Linked DNA regions of Xenopus tropicalis. The protein of the gene in region 2 interacts with the protein of the main gene of each other region in a pairwise test. Links are inferred from orthologs where the notes say so. Each region holds a gene or a part of one and is shown on either strand. Other genes may lie near its edges.

Evidence for each region. The genes of interacting proteins can lie anywhere in the genome.
Region 1: the proteins of incenp (region 2) and cbx5 interact in binary tests that used the Homo sapiens proteins (3 or more experiments, as listed by UniProt). The link is inferred for Xenopus tropicalis from reciprocal best matches to the Homo sapiens genes INCENP and CBX5.

The regions. Positions count from the first base shown.
Region 1 is NC_030678.2:145,616,160-145,620,574, reverse strand, and holds the start of cbx5 (chromobox protein homolog 5), read right to left. Parts: upstream 2,793-4,415; 5' UTR 2,647-2,792; intron 1-2,646. Other genes in the region: hnrnpa1 (heterogeneous nuclear ribonucleoprotein A1), read left to right, coding at 3,302-3,316. UniProt on the Homo sapiens protein: Component of heterochromatin that recognizes and binds histone H3 tails methylated at 'Lys-9' (H3K9me), leading to epigenetic repression. In contrast, it is excluded from chromatin when 'Tyr-41' of histone H3 is phosphorylated (H3Y41ph).
Region 2 is NC_030680.2:22,838,753-22,843,167, forward strand, and holds the start of incenp (inner centromere protein), read left to right. Parts: upstream 1-1,431; 5' UTR 1,432-1,482; intron 1,483-3,008; 5' UTR 3,009-3,016; coding exon 3,017-3,153; intron 3,154-4,415. UniProt on the Homo sapiens protein: Component of the chromosomal passenger complex (CPC), a complex that acts as a key regulator of mitosis.

The DNA of each region.
Region 1 (4,415 bases), on a different chromosome or scaffold from region 2:
AATCTGTTCCTTCAAAAAGTATAAACAAATACCATTTTTATATGCTGAAATCCAGCTTCAAAACAGTTACCTTTCTGCATCATTTGAAATCCTGGTGGGAGAGGAGGGACTAAAACATTGATGTTACAAATAGTAACAAGTTCTCAACAGCTTACAGACAGCATGCAAGAACTACATAACCCACAATGCACTGCACTATGATGTACCATTGCTTACTGACATCACGTCGGCAGGGGATTGTGGGATTTGGAGGTTGCAGGTTAAGAACAGTCGACTACTTTAACAGCCCAATAGGCTTGTTTTGCCTCCAGTAAGGATTAAATTATATCTTAATTGGGATCAAGTACAAGGTACTGATTTATAATTACAGAGAAAAGAATTACAAATTAGAATTATTTGCATATAATGGAGTCTATGGGAGTTGGCCTTTCCGTAATCCGGAACTTTCTGGATAATGGGTTTCCAGGTAAGGGATCCCATACCTGTATATTAAAAATCATGAAATTGCTGCATATTTTTTAATTGATGTATATTACAAAGTTACTCTTTAAAACGCTTAAGTTGTGTTTGGGTGGAGTTCCACCTTAAGTTGCAAAAGCAACCTGAAATAATAAAGTCATCAAACAGTACATAAGAGTGAAAGTTAAGAGCAATTTCACTCAGTTATCTTAACCCCTTTGTGGTCAAGTGGTAAACAGAGATGTCACCTGCCCTTCCAAAGTAGACTGTGTACAGGGGCTTTTTTATGAACACTGGCCAGTAACCTATGGCAACCACATTTTTGCTTTTCATTGTTCAATCTGCAGTCATGGATTGGTTGCTATGGGTTACTGCCCATGTGGAAATCTGCCCACTGTTTATACATGTTTACTGTTTATATACATAAGATGTCTACAGTCTAAGAATAAAGTATACAAAGGCACATTTAAGCCCACATGTCCAGCCTGTGAACCTCCTGCTGTTCAACTACTACTCCCTATACTCCAGCAGACTTTATCTGGGAGTCTGGACTAAAGGTGGCCATACACCGTAAGATCCGATATTCTCTCGATAGGCCCCCTACGAGTGGGTGATATTGGGCTAATTCAACTTAGGGCCAAACAATTGAATTAGAATGGTGGGCATAGGCACCATCAGTTCAGAGACTGCATAAACGAGCCGACACGGTCCCCAATTCAATGTAAATATCAAACCTGCCCGATTTCAAGTCAGATGTCAGTTGGGGCCTGTTGTTGGTGCCCATGCATGGGCAGATAAGCTGCCAAATCAGTCTAAAGGACCAATATTGGCAGCTAAAATTGCCCAGTGCATGGACACCTTAAGATTCATAATAGGCCCTGGTATTTGACATACACGGAGGCCCAATCCCCTCCACTGGCCCAATAAATAGTGACTGTCTACCACACCTTACTGCAGCCCCTCTGGCATTTGCCAGAATCTACAGAATTGCCAGATGGTATGGTTATAGGTTAGCATTAGTGATTACACCTAGTAAGCTTGCTGTGTTGGCATGCAGGTGTGAAGGTTATTTAAAGGAATGCCGTTGCTTAAAGTGTATTGTCATATTATAAATACACGTTCCCTTTCATTTCCCTAGGGACATTTTTCATTTTCCCTAGGTAGCAGCCTAGCTGGTTGTAAGCATAGTAGTTTTTAAGCTCCTGCCATAGACCCCCTTCAAGCCTCATGTAAGCAAGGTATTTACTTTATTTACAGGAGGTGAGATTGATAGAAATGCCTAGAGCTGGTCTGAGTGATGTCTGAAGCCATTTTGCAACGCTCTTATTTGCGTTGCATGCGCCCCCCTCCAAGGGCAGAATTTCTGAATATAGGCACTCTTCATTTAACAGAAAAGTGTGGAATTGCTGCAAATAGCCTTAACCTATGGAGACAACTGCATAGAAACTGCTTTTCTGCTTCAAGTGATACCAGTAAGTTATGTGCCTGGTGTAAAGCTGCTGTACTGCGTGTTGCATGTATTACCATTTCCATAGCCACAGGCCATGGTTTTACTTGGGTTAGGGATGCCCAACCCCTGGCAGACTGTTCCTGCTGAACTACACCATTCTGACCTGCTGGCTGATATGTGCAGACATAGCTCACAGCAGCTGGAGGGGTGCAGAAGAGCAGACGTTCCATATGTGATTGCTGACACACAATGATGATGGAATGAATGGAGGACTCACATCAACATCCAGCTGTTGTACTACACCTCCCCCAACTGAACAGCTGGATGTTGGCCATGCCCGATATCTGTATACAGAGAATATACAACAGAATCATGCCATACAGGTTTTTATTGTATAATAGTCCAATAGGACCAGCCCAGGATACAATACCAGGGGGAGAGAGCAATGGGTATTGCCCAGCGCTGTCTGTAAGCCCCAGGTAAGTACCTAAGTTAAGCCTCGCACTGTCGCTGCCCGGCTACACGGCTGAACGGTACAACACGTTCCTCCCAAAGTTTGCGAATGACCCCCAAGCTTCCGCCAATCAGCAGCGCCCCTTGTCTCCCACATCACTGTCCCTGTCTCCCACAATGAAGCCGGGGCACCCCATTATTCGCACAGTGCCAGCAGCAGCACCTCACACAGCCAATGAATGGGAAGGGCCGAGGAGGGGTGGGAGGCAGCGAGTTGTACTCACCTTCCTGCGCGAAATACACCGTGCGCCCACCGAAAGCTGCTCGCTAGCAGGAATTGAGTGAAGGCTCTTACCGAGCGGTACTGTGCGCAGCCAGCGACCAAACCCCGCCAAAAACAACCCACTAGACGCATGCGCAACACCGCCCTCCAGCCTAAAGGAATGCCCCTCCTCGGGTACACACTATGCCCAGTCCGTGCCATACTGCAGCCTAACCATTCACCAGAATTCATAACCAAAGGTTGAGGCCCTATAAAATGTAATTTCAATGGCTAGAACCAAATCTGCCCGAACTTCTATAAAACGAGCACCGGGCCAGTACGGAAATCTCTGTATAAAATATGCACACCGATAATCACTCGCCCAATGAGAAAACGGGGCGTACCAGCACCTCACTTAGGCCGGACAAAAGGACTGACTAAACGTACCCGATTTCTTTTCCCCTCCTCCTCAACGTCTTAACCAATCGCTGAAGTTAAACGTCACGCTAGTTGCCCAATCGACGATGCCTACGCAGACAGCGACCAATTAGGAGGCAAGTGGGCGTATTCTGGCGCACTAAATATACATTGCCATTGCGCTATAATCCCCCACTCTTCCTTCCTGTCGCTTCTCTTTTGTTTCTGCTGTTGTTGAGTTAACATCGGGGAGAGTCACCATGCACAAGTCCGAGGTAAGGCCTAGCGCCAGTGCATAATGCATTCGGTTCTTTTTATCATAGTCGTTTAGTTTTACGCCTTCTAGTTATGGGCATAAGTATCAGTAGGAGTGTTGGCGCCTTTTTGGGCCAGGTTTTTTTTTGTATGCTGTATATATGAGAGTGCTACGGTAGGTCAGGCTATATTAGATAACGACTAAATTATGTGAATAACATGTAGGCCCTGGCTGGGGATTTTCTTTAGACGCCGAGCTGGAAGCTTTGCGTAGAGTTCCTTTGTCTGACTCCATTTTGTGCGCTCCACCCTGCGAGGCGCTATGGTACCGCCTATTTTCTACTCGCTTAATGGCGGCGCTGTGGCCCGTAGCTGGAAGGCGCCTTTTCTCTAACGCCACACATGATTAGGCCTCTCCTTAATACATATTAGATATTCTCTAGCAATAAATAAAAGAATACCTCTCTCTCGGATACCGTACAAATTGGTAACAGAAAGGCAAACTTATTCCCGGATTTGTAAAAACGCGTGTTTTCAGCTTCGATGTTCAGGCTAACAATATACTTATTATTCTCGCTATTTATGGCTTCTACACATTCAACTTAAATGAAACCTGTTCCTATAGAAAAAAATGACCCTTATGGTATCGCGGTGGGGGAGGGGAAACTGGTGATTCACCATTTTGGTGAATGGGTTGGTTAGGCCTAACCAGTGCACTTCCCCCACCTAGAGGCTTGGGTTGGTTAGGCCTAACCAGTGCACTTCCCCCACCTAGAGGCTTGGCTGCTAACTTTGCCCAATTAGCGAGTCTCCTTTTTAATCACTGGGCAAGTTTGCACCTAGGCAGTAACCCATAGCAACACATCAGTGGTAGTTTCACCATTCCTGCTGCTGGCTGAACAAAGGCCAAACATCTCGTTGGTTGCTATAGATTATTGCTTAAGTGCAAGATAGGCTTTATTTTAAATTTTTTTTATTTTTTTTGTGGTTTGGGTAGAGGGTGAAATTAATAGGAAAGGGTCTTATAGTAGATGAAGAAAAATAATCCTTTGTGCCTGTCCCTTTGCTTTTGGCATCCAGCCAACATAGTTAAACCCAGTACATGCTAGTAAACCTCGT
Region 2 (4,415 bases):
GACAAAACAGCAGCACCCATTTTTATCCACTAGGTGGACCAAAATCCAGAAATGTGTAAAATGTGTAGAACAGTGGCTCAGGGGCAATATGTTACCCACAAACCCCTTGGAAATTACTCCCAGGGGCGTCAAAGCAGCTGCTTATTTTTAGATTACTGGCTTAAAGTCACATTTTGGTTACATAAAAACCAGGTGTACTGCCAAACTGAACTCTGAACTCTGTAGGCTGCCAGGCCACATAGGGGCTATCAGATAGCCAATTACAGCCCTTATTTGGCACCCCAGGAACATGTTGCATGTGTTGCTCCCCAACTCTCTTTACATTTGAGTGTGTCTCAGGGATAAAAAAAGGTTTAGGATCCCTGATGTAGAACATGGTCTCCCTTTATAGCAGTTCTCATTTTGATGCAACTCACAAGCAGAAATGATCATATATAAGAATTAGAAAACAACATATTATTCTCAAGCTCAGCATGATAGAAATGCTACTTTTTTTTAACTGTGGATGCACTGGATCCATAAGGTTTGAAACCTCTGGAAAGATCTGTCTGACTTCTGAACTAAATTTGAACCCTAATTATTTTATATATTTTTTATATATAAAAAAACCAAACTGCATTACATGGGGGGGGGGGGGGTAGGCTCTTGGGCACATACTGTTAGGCCTTGTGGTACTCTGGCCCTGTGCATTAGGAAGTTGAAAAGGGGGGGGGGGGGGGGGTGGCAGAAAACAGCAGGGGGCATGTCTTGGGCATCCATACCTTAGGCCTGCATCAAATTGTTTTTTTTTATACACAATTTCAAAAACAATCACATTCTTATTGTATTCACATCAGTCCTTGCCCTAATGCCCCTATGACAATCACAGACACTATGGTCAGTGCTGTCAGGAGCCAATCAACCTTCGTAAATATTTTCAGAGAAGGTGAGTTGCCGCAAAAACATCACTATAATCACAGCCATAAAGCACCAGGACTGTCGCTTAGATAAAGAAATAATCTAAACGCGCATTTAAATGACCCATTGCAGCTACAGTAGTTTTTTCCGTAAATGTTCTCATTTTTGCGAGCAGCATGTTGGGACCGAAAGGATTACGCTTCTAGAGCCCCATTCAGTACAAATCCGGATCTGCGTACTGAGCTTTAAGCAGACAGTACCTGCACAATAGTACAACAAACGCAATTATTTAGTATAATATCCCACTAGCGCATTTGTGAGTCCTCCACTACCATAGAGCTACTTTCCTTCCCCAAACAGCCCCGCCCCCTAGGTGTCAAGCTAACCAATCAATGAGCGAGCCTGGGTTCGCAAGCCCCTCCTTCTGATGTCACAGCCTCTCAGCTACGGCCGTTAGGTTTTTGAAACATTTGAACTCTTTGGGCGGGAGAGGAAGGCACCGCTTGTGCAGGACGGGGTGGGAAAAAACGCAAAGGAAAATAAGAGCGGGTTACAAAGCAGCGCACGGTACGGGACCCGGAATCGGTAAGTGCCGGCTAATGTTAACCCTTTCCGTGCCCACGGCATGCTTCTCATAGGTTCCTGTCAGACTGCCCGGCTGGCCGCTGTGAGGCTCTATCTCCACTGCTGGAGGTTCCAGACTGGCCTCTAACAACCTCTGATGCGCTGCAGCTGCACAGCTCTGTCCCTCACCCCTTCTCTCTATCTGGGTTCCCTATAAGCCCCGTATTTGTCGCGAATAACTACGCACTATCCAAGGCTTTCTCCCTCTACCAGCCGGACATAATATCCTCAAGCCGTATGGGGCCGGCATGCCCCCTTTGGGTTTAAATGACCAGCGCTGACCCCTTCGGGTTTAAATGGACCGGTCCCCCCCCCTTGTGTTGAAATGGCCCAGCCTGACATATTTAGCTCAATGCAGAGTTGGCTGCTATAGGAAAGCCTGGGGCAATGACTGGGGGTGGCATCATAATTTAAAATTACGTTGGATATTGTAGAGGTTGTGTTTGTTTTCCTATTTATGTGTGTAATCCTAACATAAGGGTCAGTTATGGGGATTGCTGTACTGCAGTGTGGGGTCTGATACCCAAAATGCTTAGGAATTGGTTTTTGTTTTATTGAAACCAATATAAATTCATGCAACTTGGTTACCATCAAGTACAGAGTATTGTCTTATTATAGAGAGGCAGGAAATCATTTTTTTTAAATCTAATTATTTTGCTTTCTGCTTAAGAGGCCCCCAATCTTGTTTTGTATCTTAACGCAGGGGTATCACCTAAAAAATACAAATAAATCTTAAAACCACTAGTTTAAATTTTTAATTTTTTGCTTATTTTGTCACAACCCACCAAGACTTTTATTTAACTCATTCCATGCCAGCTGCAGGAGTGCTCCAAGTCTGCTTTTTGTTTCACTGACTTAAACAAAACCTGGAAGCATATAAATACATTGATAGTACTCTGTTTGCCAGCAATGTACATTCATTTTTTTTGTTGTAGTTTTCATATTATTAGCAGTTTTAGACAGCATTGCACTGGCTGGCCACCAAAAGGTTAAGTGACTACTGCTGGCAGCATCTCCTGCACGGTGTTCTTGTCAGCTCATGTAGAATTTTCTGAGGAGTGTCATTGGGGATGCTTTTTTCTCTCACAGAAATTGGCATTTTGGTATCCCCTGGTCTGTTAGGGTGAAGACACACAGAGCTACTTGTAGCAGCTACTTGTCACAGCTACTAAAATAGACAATGTTGATCATTTACTGATGACTGTCTGTGTTTTATCAGAAGCAATTCTCAGTATTGTCTATGGCAGGGTATTTTCTGGCGTTTAGTAGCTGTGACAAGTAGATGCTACTAAATTGCTCTGTGTGTTTTATACCCAAGGCTTTACTACACTGCATTGTGTGACAGGATCTAGTTGTCTCCTGTTTGGTATATGTTTGACCCTCTATGAGAGTAAACTACAAGTTATGTTTCTAATAAAGCCAAGTTGTCTGCTGATGACTTTCATTGTAATGTTATCTGCTATTAGTAAGTCCTCTTTATTTTGCAGGTTCCACCATGAACGACGCGGAGTGCCTGTCCCACCTCTTGCAGGTGTGTGCTCGCAAGACGGAGGAGTTTGTTCGGACTCTTGACAGCAAGCACATGGTTTGGCTTCTGGAGATTGAAGAAGAGGCAAGAAAAATGTTCAGCAGGTGCGTTCTGTATGAACCATAACAATTCGACACTTATTACTCTATCGCTAGATATGGAATGCATGCTCAGTCTACTGATTTAGCATCATATAATCATATATAATATCTTTTTAAACAATAATCCCTGCCTTTCCTAATGCCCTATTACTTACCAGTGTCAAACTCTAAAGTCCCATCACATGTTTGCTGCAACCATTGCATTGTGTTTGTGGAGTGGATCTATAGGCTGGATGCACTGTTTCCATGGGTTGCGTCAGCCAAACGGGTCTGTTTCCCTCTTAAGCTCCATGTCATGGCTGTTTCTTCTGGTAAGTAATAAAGGTCCTGGGGAGGCAAGAGTTTAGTGCCACAAAGGTTTTTGTGATGCCCATTCCTGTAAAAGGGTGGCAGGAGTCCAGTTTGTATTTCCTGATTGGTTGGTCCAAGTAGCAAATGTTGACTAGCAAGTGAACTGGATAAATGCTTTATGGGCCTTAGTTATTTTTTTTTATTTATAACTATTTAACAAATGCAGGCATATCTGCAAGTCTCTCCCCAGTAGTGCCCTTTAGCCTATCCTATCACTGCAAACAGTCGGTATTGATGATGCACTTGTACCCAGAAATTGAAAGTTCGCCCTAGAATTTTTAGGTCACAAGCATGTTAAGTTTTTAACCATATTGTTTAGGTTGTGGTTATTGTTTGGCAAAGAAAGCTAATCTGAAACAGCTTCCGGGTTAACTTGATTTTTTTGTTACTGGAATGCCTTCTTGCCAGGCAACCCAGATTAACTGTGTAACCCTTTAACATTTATAAAATACGTAATACATTCCATACCTCTGTTCTGCAAGACTGTATCCAGAAAATGTGGAATATATAATAATGTTTGCAAGAAATCCACTTCCTCCAGCCCAAAAGCTCTAATTAAATCCTACAAATATTTCTTCTGAATTGATTTAAAATATTGTTTCAGTCCAGACTGTGTGCCTGTAGGGCTTTTGTTTGGTATATGTATAGATAGGTGTGCGCAATACATCTGGAATGCAGAAAGTTCTGCTTGAGGGAAGAAACAAGCCTGCTTCTATTGTTTGTCTTGAGTTTAAGGGAAGGCATCTTATTTATAATGTTGGTTTATTTTCTATACCTATTTTGCTTACTTATTAGCGAACTGTGAGCAAGAATAGCTGTCTAGAAAAAGTATTTTTGCAGCCTCCACTCACAAATACATGGGTGTGTTCAATTTAAGTTCTCATAGCGGATTATTTTGAGTTTAAATTAATATG